3 linked regions of the Xenopus tropicalis genome follow. The protein of the gene in region 2 interacts with the protein of the main gene of each other region in a pairwise test. Links are inferred from orthologs where the notes say so. Each region holds a gene or a part of one and is shown on either strand. Other genes may lie near its edges.

The links.
Region 1: the proteins of sh3gl3 (region 2) and rpl35a interact in a two-hybrid assay, tested with the Homo sapiens proteins (2 studies listed by BioGRID and IntAct). The link is inferred for Xenopus tropicalis from reciprocal best matches to the Homo sapiens genes SH3GL3 and RPL35A.
Region 3: the proteins of sh3gl3 (region 2) and atxn2 interact in binary tests that used the Homo sapiens proteins (3 or more experiments, as listed by UniProt). The link is inferred for Xenopus tropicalis from reciprocal best matches to the Homo sapiens genes SH3GL3 and ATXN2.

What each region holds. Positions count from the first base shown.
Region 1 is NC_030681.2:100,506,460-100,513,646, reverse strand, and holds rpl35a (60S ribosomal protein L35a), read right to left. Parts: upstream 4,963-7,187; 5' UTR 4,934-4,962; exon of another isoform or gene 4,445-4,933; intron 3,709-4,444; 5' UTR 3,677-3,708; coding exon 3,666-3,676; intron 2,920-3,665; coding exon 2,767-2,919; intron 1,877-2,766; coding exon 1,732-1,876; intron 1,171-1,731; coding exon 1,147-1,170; 3' UTR 1,108-1,146; downstream 1-1,107. Other genes in the region: iqcg (dynein regulatory complex protein 9), read left to right, coding at 6,685-6,798.
Region 2 is NC_030679.2:105,641,850-105,648,580, forward strand, and holds the end of sh3gl3 (endophilin-A3), read left to right. Parts: intron 1-938; coding exon 939-1,097; intron 1,098-3,180; coding exon 3,181-3,284; intron 3,285-4,681; coding exon 4,682-4,806; intron 4,807-5,948; coding exon 5,949-6,151; 3' UTR 6,152-6,697; downstream 6,698-6,731. UniProt on the Homo sapiens protein: Implicated in endocytosis. May recruit other proteins to membranes with high curvature.
Region 3 is NC_030677.2:163,139,807-163,146,537, reverse strand, and holds part of atxn2 (ataxin-2), read right to left. Parts: intron 5,547-6,731; coding exon 5,483-5,546; intron 4,312-5,482; coding exon 4,159-4,311; intron 3,466-4,158; coding exon 3,399-3,465; intron 1,788-3,398; coding exon 1,603-1,787; intron 699-1,602; coding exon 566-698; intron 1-565. UniProt on the Homo sapiens protein: Involved in EGFR trafficking, acting as negative regulator of endocytic EGFR internalization at the plasma membrane.

The sequences.
Region 1 (7,187 bases), on a different chromosome or scaffold from region 2:
CTCCAGACATCACTCACATTGGACATTTAGTTGTTTGCGATAAATCTCCAATACCAAAGGCGACAAACTGTCCCTTGTTACCTTGTCAGTGTAAGTCTTGCCAGTCAGTGCCACTCTAGCGACAATCTGCCCATGTTGTCAGGACAAGGACAGAAGGGCTGTATACCTTTCATGGTGCTCTAATCACACCAATATCACCCATCTGTAGTTGGAGATAATGGGGAAAGGCCTGTTCACCAAATGATCATTAAATGCATTCTCAGCGTTAAGGCGAAGACACATTTTGTTAGCTGCAGTGAAAAAAAAAATTTGGTCCCGGTGATTTTTCCCGCCATAGGGTACTGTATAAGTCGCTGTGACTAATCACGCGGTTTAGTGTCAGCGTGAGGTGGCCATACAGGGGCAGTTTTTAGCCGATTTGGCCCCTTCAAATAAAATCTGCAGCTTACCTGCCCATGTATGGAGCCCTTTGATGGACCTGCCTGACCAATAAGGGCTTAAAGGTTTAAAAATCAGGGCAAGGACAACATCGACTTGATGTCTCTTGATGCTCTCCCTGACGGCGTGTATCCCCAAGCATCTTGATCCAATTGTTTGGCCCTAAGGCCAAAGAATGGGATATGCCGATAATGCCCACAAACTCACTAATTAGGCAGATCTTTAGATGTATGGCCAGCTTTAGACTTGCAGATTTTACACAAATGAACATTTAAGTCCAAGTTGTTCAAAAGAACCACAGGAAGAAGGTAAGAGGGCAACATTTTACAGCAATTTTTGCATATTGGCACCCCTCTAATTTGTCTTTACTCATCCAAAAATCCAGAGCCTTGTTTTGCCATACATTTGTTGATATTATCTTTACCAATAAAGGAAAGGTGCGACAAACACAAAACCCCAACAAAAGGTTGCTTTTCCAGCAATATACAAGAGTTCTGCAATAACCCAAAATCAGAGTGTGTGCACATATGTTGGAGAAAAACCACAGCGGAATAGATAGGATCACATGGATAGGTAAGCACATTTCAGAATGCTTTTGCTTGCCTTGGGAGAGGGTGGGGGGTTTCCTCTGAGTGTTTAGAGAAGTCTCAAAAACAACACAAAAAATAGAAAAGATCTAGAATGTTTCTTTTTATTTTTTCTTAACATTTAGATCCTTGATGGGTAAAGCATCTGAAAAGAAAAAAGAGAGAGAGGTCAGAAACATTAATTGAAAAAGCACAGTAAATCTTAAGTCATTTTGCAATGTGCAAAAATAATCCCTCAACCCTAGGATTTTGTATACACAAAAGCGATTTAACATTTTACATGCCAGCAAAAGACTACAATACAGGCATAAAAGTACCATGGGGCCAGAGTTAGAGTTTACATTTCTTGGTCTTAGTTTGATCAATGTCTGAAAAAAAATGGCATGGCTAAATCAGAGACAGCAAACAAATGGCTTTAACACATATACAGTTATACAAGGAAAAAACTTTTTTTGCAACTTTGTGTCCCCTTAGGCATTAGTACAATGACACAAAGGACCCAGAATGGAAAAAAAAATTGTCCTCAGGTGGAAATGGTGGTGGGATGTCAACTCTCAAAACTTGGCTTTCAGTTATTGGGTTCTTCTTTTCAAACACAAGCTAAGTTTTGCACCAAGGGCCATGACAGCAGTGGTACCATATCTTTACATTATGTATTCATATACAGAGGTCTTTTCACTTTCCACCAACAGATGCAATCACTTACCACACGGATCCTGTGTCCAATGGCTTTAGCTGGGAGGTTAGAGCGGAACTTGGCACGGACCATGCCACTGTTTCCATGAGCTCGGGTCACCTTACCCCAGATCACACGAGTTCTGTTGGGCTTTCCACCAGGTGTCACTGTATTACTATAAAAAAAAAAAAAAAAGTTTGTAAACATTACATCTTGCAATTTTAAAACTCCAGCAGCAGTACATTTAACAGAAACAGGTTTGTCTCATTTTATTAAACATGCAAGTAGAAACATATTGCCACCCTCCAGTGATTGAACCTGTCCCACCCTTTAACTGCCTTTTTTAGTTGCCATTACCCAATGAGCTAAAATATTTTTGTACAGGTGCAAAAGTACACTATAAGAAACAAGCTTTCTATAAATTTTCAGTAAAAATCTCAGTTTAAGTTATCCTGCAAAAAGCAATACAAAGTATGAGAGGAATTTATACACTGCTTGCATGGCAAAATGTTACTCAAATATCCAAAGGAAAGTGAAATCTTTCGTCAAAATATATAATTCAACATGACAAAACTAATTTTGCTTTAAAAGTCTGACAGAAGGTCTACGTATAAATCAGCAAAGAACTATCATCCGTAACCTATACATGCATTAGGGTTTTTTCGTGTTTTTCTATTTTAGATTTCAGTCTTGAGGAAGAACAGTAAGCCAGTTCATAAAAATATCAGTCTACATATTCTTACATAAAAATATAAAAGTGAACTGAACTGGTAATCAAAATACTTCCATTCTTGGGAACCCATCCCCCACCACAAACACACACGGGCTGTTCAATTAGCTTTGCATTCTCTCACGTTTTTATGCATATTTCGGCTTTATGTGCCTGCACCTGAGCGTATTCCATTAATTCAGGTGCAGGCACATGTAGGAGCGCATGGCGCATATTTTCGGCAAGTGGTTTTCAGCTTGTCGAAAATATACACCATATGTATGGTGTGGCATTAACCTAACAGAAGAACAGTGCATATTCCAAGTGCTTGGTTCCCAAATGTAAAAGCGACTTACTTTTTTGCTTTGTACACATAGGCACATCTTTTTCCCAAGTAAAATTCTGTTTCATCTCGAGCATAGACTCCTTCAATTTTAAGAAGAGCTGTGTGCTCCCTCTGATTTCGAAGGCCTCGCTTGTAGCCAGCAAAAGTGGCTTTGCTCCACAATCTAAAATTAAATTTCAAAAATGTTATTAAACACATGGGAACTCTTCTATATCATCCCTCCCTTTTCAATAGGAAGAAATGCTTTTAAATACAATTTCTAAGTGGTCTTCTAAGCAATTTTATTTAAAAAAGGCACATTTAAATACACTCTGCAGAATACCAAGGTTTTAATTCTTACAGCGAAAGTTAAACAGGGTTAAAAAAATTAAATTGAAAACCTCAAAGAGTTTTGACTAATTTATAGTTCTAGGCGCTTTATTAACAGATATATACTGTAAGTGTAAATATATTTTCACTTCAAAATTAAATTGCAAGGGTTGTCAAAAGCGCACACTACAGTTTTACTTCATATCTCCTTTAAATCACAAATGGTATGAAAAAATATCAGTATCGAACTACAAACCAAATTTATGGCCCCCAGTCTGATCTGGGGCTCCAATATTTTTGTACGACATTTATATAAAATCTGGCAAACCCACATTGGTGCTCTACTTGGGTTATAAAACTAAACAGGTGAAATAACATAGGAATTTAGACATTATTAAACCTTATGCTGTGCCTAAGCAAGTGTCACATGCTGAAAGAATTTGAAGAAAATAAAAAGTAGAACCAAAAGGTAGGCTTGTCACTTTCATGTCACAATAACAACTAAGATTAGCTGAATCGCAGAAGTAAAGCAGCCTAAATAAGTGACATGTAAATAATTGCTTTACTACTATGATACAGAATTAGAAATATTGCTCATACCTTCCAGACATGTTGCTCTCCTAATGTCCAGATGCAGGCAGGACTGTAAAAAAAAAAAAAAAAAAAAAAAAAAAGACGTAGAAATATTTTTGTTAAACTGCAAGCTTTATGTGCTTTAATTATATTGCGTTTGATTTAATTACTTTCCCTGAGAAATGTCACAGGAAATAGATACAAACAGTGGCAAATGGAACCTCACAAATACCATAACACTATCTAAAAACATTTGGTGATGCATACACAGTTATGCATACACAGTTATGCAGACAGTTTCATTTGCAATCACATGTAACACTATGTCATTAAGAGTATTAATGATTCACTCCAAGTATTGGAGACCTTATTCTGGGTTAACATTTAAAGAGAAAGAGGTGGATCTTTTTCTCCAAGAGGCACGCCACAATCTTACCTGCATTTCCCAGGAGCCCTTATACCTATAGTCTTACCTGTGCACAATGCAGTAAAAAGTACCTATACTGTGCCTGTGCAAGGGATCCAGGTAAATACAGATAGATGGTGGTGTGACAGTTAGAAAGATGCCCACGGCCAACATATTGCTTCCCCTAGTAAATAAGACTACTTGTCCTTTTAAAGAAAATCTAGGACAAGATCAATATTATCTTTATGACACCTCTCTTAAATGAACAATAAAAACATCTTTCCAAATATGTCATATGAAACAAACATTTTCCCTTAACATGTGTGACTTTGCAATAGCAAAAAGCATGATCAGGAAGCACATCTCCAGCAGGCACACACCCGAGTGACCCCACAATTACCCGCTTACAAAGGCAGGACTTACGATCCTAAATTGGCTTTCCAGCAGCAGCTGACTTCTATAATAGAACTATACGAATAGGTGGCGGCAGAAAACCTATAGACAAGTACAAGCCAAGCTGCCCAGCACTTCAATTAGCCAAGCTTATTCCCCGTTTGTATTAAGGGACAACTACTACACAAAACTCGGCCTCTCAGCGAAGGGAAACTTCCTTAGGTGTCTGGCACAACTGTCGCCAAAAGAACAACTCGAAAACAAGTTTGCTGCAGTTGTACAGCTGCGAAAATAAGCCGGCAATGGGAAAATCCTATCAGCCTAGCTCCAATGCAATCCTCTCCGTATCCCAAACATCCCGTCTCCCACAGGCTCAAAGCCAGGCCCGGCAAATAACGCTCAAGTAGACGTCCCCGTTCATGTCGGTATTTCTCTCATACGACCCATTTAACTGTCCATTTTTCAGTATTAATATTTGACTATACACTAAGCTCACCCGCACTGGTAACCAAGATGGAGGAAAAGGAAGGGGGAGCGCTTTGCATGACGGGAAATTATGAACGTAGCATGCGTGAGGTGTCCATGTGACTGCCTAATGTAAAAGGGTAAAAAAAAAAAATAAATTAAACCCAATTTCAGGGCAATGAACTATGATCTCTAAGAGAATTGATTTTAAATCTAAAATCGTGAGATAAATGCAATAAATGTTAAAAATGATATATAACCGGCGGTACGAAGACGAATAGGACGCAAGGACTCTCGGGCAGGGTACGATCCCCATGGCAACTGTATGTAAACATTGGGTGTTCTGACGCACAGGTAACTTGCAAATCAGTTTTCGCAAAATCTGTATTGGCATTATATATTTTACATTGTACGTGAATGTGCATATAGCTACATAGTTGGGGTAAAAAGGGATGCAGTGTGTGTTTGGTAGACGTTACCATACCTGAGTAGTAGTAATACAGGGACTTAAGAAACATACACTGGCTAAGATACAGGCTCCCTGTTCTATAGTAAATGCTTTTTATTTGGCTGGATATAATACTTTAATGGATAAAACATAAAATTCTAATTGCATTATCCTTTAGTTGTATTACAAGAAAAGTAAGCAGTTTGTTATGTAGGGATGCCCCTCTTCCAATACTACCAGTGTCCACTCTCAGCTGCCCTTCCAATCCATACACCAACCCATTTGCATTCACATTTGGGCAAGAAAAAGTCACCCAGTTGTCCGTTATAAACACATTTGTGTCTTTGAAAACATCTGAATTGATCCATCTTATATACTTCCTTATGAAATTGCATTCAGTAGGATGGTGCAATGGAATGTTCTAGGTTTCCCTGGTCAGTTCTTAATCTGGAAATGCTATTGTTAGTACTGTGTTTGGAGTTTCCTTATTGGCTCAAAGGGGACCTGCCACCCAGACATAAAGTCAAAGTAATTTTTAAATTTAACATGAAACCCAAATTTTTTTAATGAAAACATCCATACCTGTTATAATGGTATTTCAAATCTTCAAATTTGTCTCTGTGCATATGAGTTGTTAGCAGTGGTTTGGGCAGCACACTAGTCATTAAATGCATAGTTTGCGAAGAACATAGACACACATATAATCAGGGCACATGCTCTTCGCGAACTATACTAATTGTATACATACAAGTGCACCCAGGTGTTAAACTATAGTGCGAGGTTAACTTTATCAATAGTCATTAAATGCAAGCATGAGCACCTAAAACAAATTTGGGCTCATGGAGACTTCTGGGAAATGTAGTATGGGCTCTGCACATACAGGTTGCTATGGCAACAGAGCGCTATTAAAGAGGAATTGCCTCTTTGTCAATCTCCTTTGTGCTTTTGCTGTTTACTATGCCCCATGGTTGATAATAGCATTATAATTTTTTTTACCTTAGCACATTCTAATTATTACAAGCTTTTTGGTGCCTTTTTGGGCTTATTAGGGTGGGGAAGGTAGATTTTCACTGTTTGTGTGTGGATACAGAAATCCTTAAGAAAGGTTACACTGTAGTGACCAAAACACTGAACTTTGCACATGATTTTGTAAATATATTTGATTTATTTGCTAAAGATCCATGCTTGCAGAACTTTTTGGGGCTTAGTGTTTGCTTATCTTGCATTGTTTGGTAGGCACCTTTTAAAAAGTGTTTTATCCAATTTGCAGCAAACTAAAGGCTTTGCATTCTGACACATTCATACCTTGCAGGTCAAGTAAAACTCCTTGAAAGATGACATTGTCTATGCTGGATGCACTTCGGGCGTGCACTGTACTGGAGGACAGCCTAGATCAACTCTCCGTTCTGGGAAACATCATGCCTGTATCTTACCATGGCCGCAGTGATGTTAGTGACCATAAACATTTGGCTGTGATTGGGTATTTTGTGGAATCTAACTTTTGATGTTGAATATCCTAAAAAGTCCTGCAAATGTAACCTGGTTATAAAGTTAGCATATATTATCTAGTGCAGGGATCCCCAACCAGTGGCTCGTAAGCCACATGTTTTTCACCAACCTGTTGGATGTTGCTCCCAGTGGCATCAAAGCAGGTGCTTATTTTTAAATTCTTGGCTTGGAGGAAAGTTTTGGAAGCATTGTAGGCTGCCAGACCACATAGGAGCTACCAGTAGCCAATGACAGCCCAAAATAGACACCCCCTGGACCTTTTTGCGTGCTTGTGTTGCTCTCCAACTTTTGATTTTTGCATGTGGCTCATGGGTGGAAAAAGGTTGGG
Region 2 (6,731 bases):
GTTCCATAAAGATGCCAGCTCTGAAGAGAATATGTTGTTCTCTTCCATATAACCAATCACAAGGTTGGTATTTATTGGTGCAACAGGGCTCTCCATTCCGTTCTGTCTTTCAAAGCTAAAAAAGACAGCTTTTATGCCCAGTTCCCAAGGAATAACAAATAATGAGCCAATATGGATTGTAACCTACCACATCTCAGCATCTGAGACTGATATATTATCAGTGCTGAATTTACGCCCGGTGCCACCCTAGGCACCAGACCTAACTGTGCCCCTAGATTGTGGAAGATCACTTCCCAAATTTCCTTGGGAATATTGTGTGTCTTGTATATAGCTTGGTAAATTATAAACCAAGTCTTTAAGCTGAATATCTATAAACTGAGACAGCGGATAAGTAGCAAAATTAATGGCAGATACAGTGGATTTACCACACTTTTATGGATCTTTGGCAACCCATAAGGAACAGCTTCTTGTGGGTTCTCAACTAGTCCAACTGTAATATCAATTCGTTGGACAAGAATGCAGGTATTTACCAAAAAGCTAAAAAGAACGGCTCTTCGATATGAAAATAATATTTTTTAATATTGTGTCCTGGGGTAGGTGCCAGTGAGATGTATGAACTACAGTGTTACAATTTCAAGAAGTGTTGTGGGTAAAGATGGCTTAGAGACATTATGCTTTTAGTTCTTAATCCACTCTACCTCCAACCTGTTCATGTTCTTGTAAATGTATTATAGATGTGCCGACTCTGCCCAAGAGGTAAGTGGAGTAGCAACTGTATTAGCCAAGGGGATTAAGTGAATGGACTGTATAATAGCAGGTTCCTGTTTCTCTGTGAATTCCCCAGTGTGCCTGTAGTCCAACCTACTTTCTGGATCAAATCTGTATTTAACACAAGTGACGATTGCTCTCAGCCATTCTCGATATTTTCTGCTTTACAGTACCATTTAAAAAGGCTGGAAGGGCGTCGTTTAGATTATGACTATAAAAAGAGGCGCCAGGGGAAGATCCCGGATGAGGAAATCAGACAAGCAGTGGAGAAATTTGAAGAGTCCAAGGAACTAGCAGAAAGGAGCATGTTTAACTTCTTGGAAAATGATGTAAGTCTACTGTAGAGATTCTGCTAGCAAACAAATAATAGTGTAGGCGACACACTTTCACACAGTGTTATGTTCTATATGACATAAAAACACAATTGATATATATTTTATGATGATTATAACCTTGTCAGCTACAAGCACATTTTCCCAGTAATATGGAGTTGGTAAGTGTTGCATCTATGATAGGCTTTTATTCTTTTCCGTAAATCATTTCTCTCAAGTAATTATGGTGCCAGTGTATTATTCTCCCAGCACATAAATAACAGTGACACAACCTCAGGGGAGGTAGCAGATCTTATAGAGACAGCAGACCCAGTGGCCGCGAGCAGAGGGAGGGTACAGTAAGGGTTGTTGGCAGATCTACTATTTCAGTAGCTGCTTTAAAAATATTTTGGGGGGGATACAGGGGGTATTAAAATATTTTAGGAGTAGTATATTACATATTTATAAACAACAGCAATAAGGCTGGTGCCACATTGGTCTGTTACTCAGCCTGCATATAAGCACTGACGAGAAACAGCCCTTCCGTTTGCATCCGCTCTCTCCTGTGTCTACACTCAGAGGCAATGTTTCAGCCTGGCTGCAGGCACACAGAGCGTATTTCAGCATAAAAATGCATACTCACATGGTTCAGCACCTAAAAAAAAGGAGAGAATGCCAGGGGGCCATCTGAAAAGCAGACCAAGAATTAGCCTTGTGTGGCATTAGCCTAAAAGTATACAGAGTAATCCAGCTGTCTTCTAAGGACTGACTATTAAATACAGATAATTAAGTCAGAAAGAGATATTTACTGATCCCAGTTCATTGAATTATTATATGTTATTTGAGATCACACCCATCCAACCTGGGATTAAATCTCTGCATTTCAATAAATTACTTATCTTTCTAAAATACAGCGGTGCCCAAGCAGCTGCATCTTATTAAAGCTTTATTTGTACTGTGTAGCAGCAGTATAAGACTTGGTCATGTATCTTGCAGGGTCATCACTTCATTTTCCTTATTCTCCTATTTCCCAATTCAAATTCTTCTTTCAATTCCACTTGCATTATGAAATCACAAATAATGTAATGTATGAGCTGATTATGCCTTTCTGAGGGACAGGCTGATATAAAAAGCTGTGTATTGCAGATGATGCAAGAAAATTAATGGTGTTTATCAGGATGTTCCAGGAATATTTTGTGACATTTTACGCCATCTGGTGGGAATATGTAGAACTGCAGCTTAGATTCTCAATTACAGTGTTGTTTCATAAATGTATGAGGTATATGTATATCTCTTTATTTATATAACGTTACTGGTATATGCAGTGCTTAACCCACACATTAACTATAGTCATTTAGTTATAAAATTTCATCTTTTCAACAGGTCTGAACAGGAGAAAAAAGCTCAACAATAGTGTGATAAATAGGGACTGAAAAAAACTGACTATTATGATTATGTTATTGCCCAGTTTTGTGTGCTTAATTAATGCTATCTTGGTGACATTTGCAACCACTGTTCTTAAGTAAAAAGATTGATTTGCACTTACTATACTGCCATGTGGTACTTTCTTCAACTGATGAGAATGGAAGAATTAGTAAACCTTGATGCAAAGGAAATAAAGCCACATGAATAATAATAATGAGAAGCCCACCAGCATACTCTGGCCTCTCCAGTTTAACTGCTTTAGGGCTCAGTGTGGTACAGATCAGCACCCTGCTCGTTGTAACTAAATGAAAGGAAAAACCCAGCACAGCGAAGCAAGTGCAGTTGGGGAACACCTTTGTGAAAAAGCTGCCCCTATATTAGTCCTGACTGTGTAGGCAGCTTATGTGCCCATGTATAAGGACAAAACAAGATATATATATGATCAGGAGGAAAATGGTTGCTTTCCTCTCCCGACAGGTCTGCATGGAGCCCCTATTCCATCTGATTTACTGATTCATTGCTATGGGTTATTGCCCATGTGCCAATTTGCCCAATGTTTATAGATTAGCCCCAGTATGTCATGTATGGGATATATAACCTACCCCAAAATATCACAAATGCATCTTAGAGTGGCTTGTTTGAGGTTCATCTAATAACTGCTGTCTTCTTATTACAGATAGAACAAGTAAGCCAACTGTCTGTATTTGTAGAAGCTGCCTTAGACTATCACAGACAGTCTGCTCAGATTCTTGAGGACCTACACAACAGGTTACACAATAGGTGAGCCACTGGCAGGTAATGGTTTTAAGCAATGGTGGCGCCATCGAATATTGTGCACACTGAAAGAGAGGATTTAACCATATCAGATATTTTGTTACGAATTTACACTAAAATCCTTACTGGTTGCTGCGAGTCTCCCATTTTTAAATAGCCCAGAAAAGCTGGGCCAAGGTGCCTGAAAATGCCCTCCACTGACTTGCAGAGGCAATACTGGAAATGCACCCTACACTGTTCCAGATATCTGACAAGCACTGGCACACAACTGACACAATTTGGAGTAGGAATTTGCATTAGCTTCCAAGGCTACAGACCCTTCTCTATATAGGATTTGTCAGTTTCTATCAAAGAAATAATCATTTGATCCATATTTTATAGTATTTAAATGGGCAGTTCACTTTTGAGTTAACTTTTAGTATGTAATAAAATGGCCAGTTCTTAGCAATTTTTCTGTTGGTCTTTATTGTTTTTTAAATGTATTTCCTGATCTGTCTCTTTTCATCTTTGAAAAGGGTGTCACTGACCATGGCAGCAAAAAATATTGCTCTTTCAGGCTACTGTTTCATTATTATTGTTACTTTTTATTACTTATCTTTTTCTAGTCAGACCCACCCCTATTCATATTCCAGATTCTCAATCAAAAGCTGGTTGCTAGGGTAATTTGGACGATTGCAACCATATAGCTGCTGATTAAAAAGCTGAATAATTAAAAAAACACACTAATAAAACAAATAATACCAATTGCAAATTGTTTCACAATAGCACTCTCTAAATATACTGAAAGGTATTTTAAGGTAAACAGCCCCTTTAATCATAAACAAATAATGACAAATGAAAACTTTAACTCTTATTTCTCATTAGCTCATCTTAGCCTCATTAGCTCCTAACTGGGTCCTACATGAGCAGGCAATTGGGCAAGATTTGTGTTATCAGCATGGTGCCAAGGTGCATATGGGAAGCACGCTTCCCGTACAACCTCTTACTCTACCCAATCACCGAAATTTGCCACCTAGTGCACCTTAAGTAATGGCCATACTCTTAGGCTGATGTCACACCAGGCGTAGGGCTGATTTTTTCGGCAAGCGGATAAACGCTTGCCGAAAATTCAGCCCTACGCCTGCTACTTGTGCCTGCACCCGAATGAATGAGATACGCTCGGGTGCAGGCACATGTAGCTGATATACGCATTAAAACGCGAGACTTTGCATTCTCTCGCCCTTTTTTCGGCAAGCGGAAAAACGCTTGCCGAAAAAATCAGCCCTACGCCTGGTGTGGCATCAGCCTAATATTGTTACTACAAGCTCAGCCAGCACTGAATCAGGGGGAGAATGTGCTCCTTTGAGATGAAATCCTGTTGTTTGCATTCAGCTGCTGACAGCAGTGTTTTGTTCTGTTCCCAGAATGAATACAGCCTCCAGCCGACCAAAGAGGGAATTACAACATAAATCAATAATTGCAACCCTGGAGTCAAATGAAAAGCTACATCACAATGGGATTCCCAGCAACTCATCAATCAAGCCATCAGGTAAAGGTGTAACCAGCTTGCAACTATTTACCAATAATTTAGAGCAATGTCGTTTTTGGAATGAGTGGGAAAAAAAAACTTTTTTGGGACACCCAGCTTTATAGGCAGTGGAAGAAATTGCGTTTAGCTAGGCTAGTTCCTCGGGTTCTTCAGGGTCTTGGCTTCTCCAACAGAAAACAAAGTGCAGTTTCCCTCGATCCATATTGTTTACCCACTGCAATGTTTTGAAAAATTTATCTATAAACCAGGTTGGAAATCACGAGCGATGCAACTGAACCGAGTAGAATCAGAAGACACTTCTGGCATATGTAATTTAAGCTTTTGCCATTTTGTACTTGCAAAACAGCAGGGGGCCTTGTAATACATATTTATGATATTAGCATTGTCAAATGCGCTGATATCATGAATACAAAAAGAAACAAATTAATAATGTAGAAGTGCTCAGAAGAGCACTTTGAGCAATTTTACAGGGGACATGATTACTCTGTACAAGTACATTAGAGGGGATTATAGGCAGATGGGGGATGTTCTTTTTTCCAGTAAAAATGATCAACGCACCAGAGGTCACCCCTTTAGATTAGAAGCAGCGTAGGGGGTTTTTCACGGTTAGGGCAGTGAGGTTGGGGAATGCCCTTCCTAGTGATGTGGTAATGGCAGATTCTGTTAATGCCTTTAAGAGGGGCCTGCCTTGAAGAAGCAGAATATCCAAGGCTACAGTGATACTAATATCTACAGTTAGTATTAGTGGTTGTATATATAGTTTATGTATGTGAGTGTATAGATTGGTAAGTATAGGCTGTGTGTGCTGGGTTTACTTGGATGGGTTGAACTTGATGGACTCTTTTTTCAACCCTATGTAACTAACTATACATGTTGTAGGGAGCTTATGTCCTCTTTAAATGGTGAATGGACAGCTTGCTATTCACTTGTATGGGAGTTTCACATTTTTTCTCTGGCAACCAGTGGCAAATTGAAATTTCAGAATATAACTATACACCTTAGTGTTATTTGATAAAAAAATAAATAAAAGAGCCAATTTTTTGGTTTGGTCTACATATACACTTCCTGTAGCGCCTTCACTGCTGCCGAAAGTAATAGGCTTCAGCTAATCGATGCCTGTTTGCTTCCTGTACATTTTATAGGTTCCTCTGGAAACTTGGACCAGCCTTGCTGCAGAGCACTGTATGACTTTGAGCCAGAAAATGAAGGAGAACTTGGATTTAAGGAAGGAGACATCATTACTTTAACCAATCAAATTGATGAGAACTGGTTTGAAGGTATGGTCAACGGTGAATCAGGATTTTTCCCTATTAACTACGTTGAAGTGGTGGTTCCGCTTCCATAGTGAACCATGGACTGAGAGACAATTTCATCCTGTAAAAAACGAAACAAAAGGACTTGCAAACATTTTGAATGTGGCATTCTGTGAACGCCTTGCTACTGGAGTGACTTCAGATCTTTAGTATGTGTCATCTCTTTTATATGTATTTATTTTGTATTAATTTTATTTTTATGAATACATTGACATCAAAATACAAATCTATTTTTGTTCGTACTGTTCTATGGAGACCTCCTGCTTACCTTGTTTGAGAAGTAATACGATCCTGTGTGTATCAGTTCCTTACTGAAAGTCAAGGTTTTATACTCCTCTCAAAGTATTAGACTGCCCAGGGTGAAAGGAAGGCTACTCTCATGGCTAGCACAAAATACAAAAGATCAGTTTTGGCAGGGGCTAGTTTATTGCCTTTTAACTGTGAATATTCTAATACGTGTTGCACAATATTTGTTAACAAGAGTAGACAATGTTGCTATGTTATTGTAAACTGTCTTATTAAAAAATACTATGTTTATCTGACCAAATCTAATAAATATAAAAAGCTGATTGTCAAAACTTTTTTTTATTATGTTTTCTGTTAATAGAACCT
Region 3 (6,731 bases), on a different chromosome or scaffold from region 2:
TGCAGGTTACAGGAAGGACATCTCCCATAGACTCAATATTAAGCAAATAATAAATCAGTAGCTTGTACTTAATGGTAACTCGGCTGCATGAATCCATATTAGTGACAAAATAATCCTACTAGGTTTACTTCATGTTTAAAGGATTTTTAGCAGACTTAAGTTGTAGTGGTCAAAATCACTGAACAATCCCCCATCCAGAACACTCTAGGTCCCTAACATTCCAGACAACAGAGCCCATACCTACAGTTTGCTACTGGTGCAGTTGCATTCCAGTTACAATCCATTCCTTATTTTAAACCAAAAGGCAGTGCATTTTTTTTTTTAATCTTCAGGTTGGCTTGAACTCACTAATCTACCCAACAAAGAATAAATACTGGCATGCATTTAACACCATAGTTTTAGTAAATACTGCCTAACTCAAGTGTGTCCAACCTTCTTAAAATACTAACTGGGCCAAATAATTTTCAAGTTTGCTTCAAATTTCAACAATTGACAGATCAACAGAAAAAACACATTTTGCAATAAACAGTTTACAGCAGATTAGTTTGCATATTTGGGTACTTACCATACATGGTATGAGTTTGTTCAGGAGTGGCATACTGTGCAGCGGAGGAGGATACAAGGCCAGCCTGTGCATGAGATGGTGGTGCCATCATTCTTGTGTTCCCCTGTATCACAGGACTATATACATGTGGGTGCTGAAATACACAAAATAGTGGAAAGATATATTTTAAATAAATAAAATAAATTGGAAAAAAGAAACATTTTAAAATTATTTTTTTTAAAAGTTGCAAAAAAAAAGTAAAAGAAGTGACTGGGCCAATTTAATTTAGACCTGCAAAATTTAATAGGAGAGACTTAAAAAGAAAACATTTTGTGCTTTTCAAATGGCTGGGATTCCTAGTTCTTCTGACATTGGACAGATGCCGAATAACAAAGGCTATACAAAGAACTGCACATCATACCAATAATATAATGCAATGGAACATGGCAAGCCAGAGCGTCACTGCACAATGCAAGCTTCAGTGACCCCACCACACAATGTACCTGTTTAGGAGAGCCAGGTATGGCTGGTGCTCTAAGAAGGAACAGGTACACTGCAGTATGTGCAAAGTTATCCTTTTTCAAGCTGCGCAATGGATGAGTGGGTCTTGTAATGTGCAGCATTACGCAATATTATGTACATACATGCCAAGTTCTTGCATGCTTCACACTTGTGAGTGGAGTGTCACAGCTTGTTTACGCACACACACACAGGCAATGCCGTGTTCGTAATCGCTGCATGATGCATTTTAATTCATGAAATCATACACTAGCTTTCCACTAAAGGTGGTCCATTCTAAAACATAACCACATTATTACCACCATATCCGCAAAAACCTGAGAACTAAGAGCATTAATTAGTTAATTTGGTTAGTTGTAATGCGAAGACTCATGACAATACTCATGACTGTGATATCAGTGTGACCAATTTTGATAAAGAAACATGGATTAAAATAAAAACAAGGTATGTAATATTTTATATATAAAAATATATTCAAGTATACTGTAGTAACATTCAAAAGAAAAAAAAAAAAAAAAAGAAATAAAGCTGAAGGTTACCTGTGACTGATAGTGCTGTACATGCTGCATAAGTGGTTGATTAGGAAACTGTTGAGGGCTGTAAGCCACATACTGGGCAGAATAGGCAGGTGGGGTAGCAACTATTGGTGGTCCTGCTGCAGATACTGGATGCATCATTGTATTCTGGTGGTGCTGATCTTGCCGTTGCTGGGGCATATTGGGTACTAAACAAGAAAAATACTTTGATTAGCAACCTCGAATGCTGTGGTTCTCAACCTTCCTAATGCTGTGACCCTTTAATACAGTTCATCATGTTGTGGTGACCCCCAACCATAAAATTATTTCTAAACCCATCGAAAATATGTGTTTTCTGATGGTCTTAGGTGATCCCTGTGAAAGGGTTCTTCGACCCCCAAAGGGGTCCTGACCCACAGGTTGAGAACCACTGCTCTAATGTGTATTGATATACAGTGATCCCTCATTACACTACAGCCACACAGGTGGATCCGTATAGTCTTAATTAGCCTTTCCATGTTCCAGCACCCAAAGCCTCTTTGTCTGCCCGGGTGCAGGCATTCACAGTGGATTTTTGGAGTTGACACAATGGCTGAGTGCAGGGACAGGGAAAGGCTGTTTAGAGCATAGGGACTGACTCCTGCGGCTGCCCAACGTTTTCATTAAATATTATCAATCTACACTTAATATTCTGATGTGACACTAAAAAAATTTTCAGAGTGAAACACACTGAATTACCATAAGTATTCCTGGTAACATAACATGTATTCCTGGTAACATAACATGTATAATTTACATGCATGCAGGCCTAGTTTCACTGTAACATGTTGCTATCAGTTCTGCTGTGCTCAGCCATCTTTTATCTGTTCTTTTAACAAAACCCCACCCAATCTATTGCATTCAATGAAACTTTAGATAACACACAAAACACACTGTGGACAAAAAAATAAAGCTTTATGAAATTATGTAGACTGATTTTACTTTAACACATGGGACATAACTGTTCAGTTAGTTTGCATTTGAATCTGACCTGTGTGCTCACAAACTAACTGAACAGTTATGTCCCATGTGGCCCCCCTTTAAGTCACTGACTAAGAGGTTAGAGACCTGAAAGCAGGATGTTCCGGCTATTACATTAGACATCCACTCACTTCAGTCTTTATAAATTACATCTTTGAAATATTGGAAATATTTTTTTCATTTTGCAGTCTATCCATTTTAACCAGTTTAATTTTTACACTGAAGTGTTCCTTTAAACATGGACACTTATAAACACCACATGTTGCACAGCCTAACAATTATTTTCAGATGCATGCTTAATAGAAGCCATCTCTAGTATTAATCAGAACTGCAAAGCATCCATGACATATGAGCCTATTTTACAGGTGCCCAGTTTTTAATCAGTCAACTTTATTGTTAATAAAAGGCTCAGTCTTGAATTGTAAATGGTACTATGTGGAGCGGTTTCTAGTTGGGCAGTTCTGTACTTGTGGCAGCAAGAAGGAAACCGTAACGAGCAGACCCTAAATTGTGTTCATCCAAGCAGTGAACAGTGATGGGAATGTACTTACAAGAGCAGATTCTTTATATATGACAGTAAGCTCTTTAGTGTAATTAACTTTCATTAAATGGCTAAGAAGGCTGTTTCAAAAAAATGAGGGCAATACTTTGTTTACAAAACACGCATTGGAAGACATTTGCTTTCAATGTAGAAAAAAAAAAAAAAAACCTACTAGACATGTATACAATGCACACACATCTAAAATATTCTTCCCAAAAAATCATGCAGCATGCACGCAATTCAGATGTCACTGTCTCACCTTTACCTGCTCTGTAAGTCTTGGCCTGGTTCACTGGCATTGTAGTCATTGGAATGGAGTATAATGGCTGAAATAATAGATATATATATATATATATAATTACTAATTGGTCCTGCCAAAAGTTGTAGAAAAACATAAATCCAGCTTTAGTCATAGCCACTCTTACAAATGAGCTTACTATGACAGAACTCTTCATGCAGCCCTAAAAATAGGTAGTGACCCCAAGTGATGTTAGTAGCTGTAAATTTTGCTTCCCATTCGCCCATTCTGTGACAGCACTGACCTATGGTTTCTTGTGCAGGGTGGAACTTGATTAACCCAATAAAGCAGAAATCATACAGTATCTTTATGATGGAAAGCAAATGAAATAAACCCTTCTAAAAACAAATGGGGCAAGTGTATTGGTGTTCCCAGCTAGTTTCAAAGAGAGCCCACCCCTATTCATGTCATGTGACAAGTCATTAATATACTTGGCATCATTCCAGCAACTACACAACCATTCATAACCCTTAACTGCCAATCACAAATGCTGGGAATTGCAGTTCCTGGTTTCTAATTCCAACACTGTTGTTTTTCAATGTATGCTCATTTAAGAATAAACTATGGCTGGGTAACTGCTAACAATCAATTACTGCTTAGCAATTTACATCCTTGTCAGAATGAGTTCCCACTTTGTGTGTTCTACAAATGGGTGCAAAAGAAATGTCAATATTTATTTTTTGACATCCAAAATGACCAATTAGATCAGGTGAATGATTACCTGAACTCCAGGGCTCACAGGAACTGGATACATCATATTCGGTGCAAAACATACTGGCTGGGTATACACAGGCGTTGGCTGCTGATGTCCAACCACTGATGGACTTGGCTGAGTTTGGGGACGAGGTGAGGTTGGTGTTGTTGAAGGCTTGGGCTACAGCAAAACAAAAGATTTTACATGCACTCATTTTTCTGTGTAACTTATCTGCAATTACAATGGAAACATCTTAGGAAACATACCACAAAATTCATCTTATGTGTGGTTGCTACACGACCAGTATTTTACCAGCCTGGTCAGTAAAAATAATGCAATGGTTTACATTATATTAAATAAATGTAAAATATTTTGGTTTAGGTTGGGTGATCAGGGCCTAAGCCTTCTGTGCAAAACAAAGTGTTGGCTCTACTTCTCTCAGAAAAGTGGATCTGTTCTCTTCTACAGCTCAGTTTGACTATGCCAACAGACATAGCTTCGGCCTAAATGAACCTACATGGAGTCGAGATCGGCCCAAAAAACACGAAAGTAGGGATTTTGGGTCCAATCTCCACTGTGTATAGTTGCACTCAGTCCGAAGCCGTGTCGGTCAGTGAAGCTATCCAAAGCTGCGGAAGATAGCAGATGCACTTCACTCTCCAACAAAATTCATGCTGAGAGAAGCGAGCCAGTGCTCCGTGTGACCAGGGCCTTAGGCATACTGCTTATCAGCAAACAAAATAAGTGTGGCTAAACTGAATAACTGAAAGTGAATATGCCATTCACACCAGACTCAACCCTACCTGCTAGCCCCTCCTTACAAACACACCCCTGATCACTTTCCAGACAGTTAGCACTAGGACCATAAAGTAGGCAACAAGACCGCTAAATACCTAGCAACATTAAGGGTATGGTGTGTTGTAAGGGCTCTGGGCCTGGGAATCTTGCCTTCTTTGGTTCTCTATCAAGCGGTAGCTTGCTGGAAACTGAAGTAAGCTAAATAGCCAGGACCAATGAGGGAAAGGTGTCAGACCTCAGACCCTCTCCTATTTAGCAGCCAGAGACTGATTTGAATGAGAGACTGAAGCAACCCTATAAAGCTAATTAGTTCCAAGCTGAAAGGCTGCTGAACAAAAAGCTAAAAACTTTAAGCAAAAATTAAAATGCTACAATAAAAAAAACCAAAAAGGACCAGTTGCAAACACTACCCATAATCTTTTTTTTTTGGTCTGCTGTCACGGTGAGCCAAAGACTAAATTATCCTCAGCATTAAACAGGAACTTGGCAAACTTTACTTCGCGTATACTTTATGAATTCTACATTCCATATTGAAATTTAGAGAAATAATTACTTGAGCATATGATCTGGGATTGAACTCCTTCGCGTTTGGATTCAGAGTAGACTTTCTCACTTGCCTGTGAAGATAAAGTACCAGCAGTTAGTAAAATATAAGTACAGTACCAGCACAGGCTATTTACAAGGCAGTTTTCCCAGGCACTGTAAAAGTGAATTAATAAGGGACAGTAAGGATATGCATTTTCAGCATAAATACACATATCTACAGCTTATCTTATCTGCAATGTAAGGGCTCTGGCACACGGGGAGATTAGTCGCCCGCGACAAAATTCCCTGTTTGCGGGTGACTAATCTCCCCGAGTTGCCATCACCTGGCATCCCACCCGCGAAAATGTAAGTCGCCGGTGGGATGGCACACGCGGCATTGCGATTCCGGCAAATCGCCGAAAAAGCCTTGCGAGGCAACTTCGGCAATTTGCCGAAATCGCGCCGCTGCGTGTGCCATCCCACTTACATTTTTGCTGGTGGGATGGCAGGTGATGGCAACTCGGGGAGATTAGTCGCCCGCGAACAGGGAGTTTTGTCGCTGGCAACTAATCCCCCCGTGTGCCAGAGCCCTTACCTGTGCATTTTCTCCTTTTTTCCAGCTTGAATGGCTGCACCCCGGGGCTACACAGCAGGGTATTTATATAAACTATAGTAGCATTTCTGAGGCAAACATACCAGTTGTACCAGTGCAGAGCAATAGTACATTATATTTTAAATTACTTTAAAGCTCTTCAAAAAAATTTGTGTTACTGTTCCTTTAAGCTACCCACATTGCAATACTGTGATGTGGCCATTTGTCTAGAGACACACCACATAACACCGGAAATTAGCGATAACAAAAGTGCTCATCTTGCTCTGTTTGTGAGATTTCAGGCTGAGGGCCATATTAGTGCATTCCTCTGAAAGGCTAGCTATAATGAAAGAAGCATTCACTTTTTTAAAAAGTATCTGACGTACAGTAAAGCTCAATTTTACATCCCCTGGTTGTAAGTGTTCCTACATTTTACACCATTTTTAAAATATAGTGTACACACACACACATACTATAATATATATATATAACACACACACACACACACACACACACACACACACACACACACACACACACACATTACACAGCAAATAATTCCCTCTACCATTTAAACCTTTATTCTTGAACCAACAAATGTATTTAGTTGTAACATTGGAGTGTAGGCGCCATCTCAGCTTTCAGAAGGAGGCAGCGCTTTATAAAAGCAACTGTTGAGCCAGAT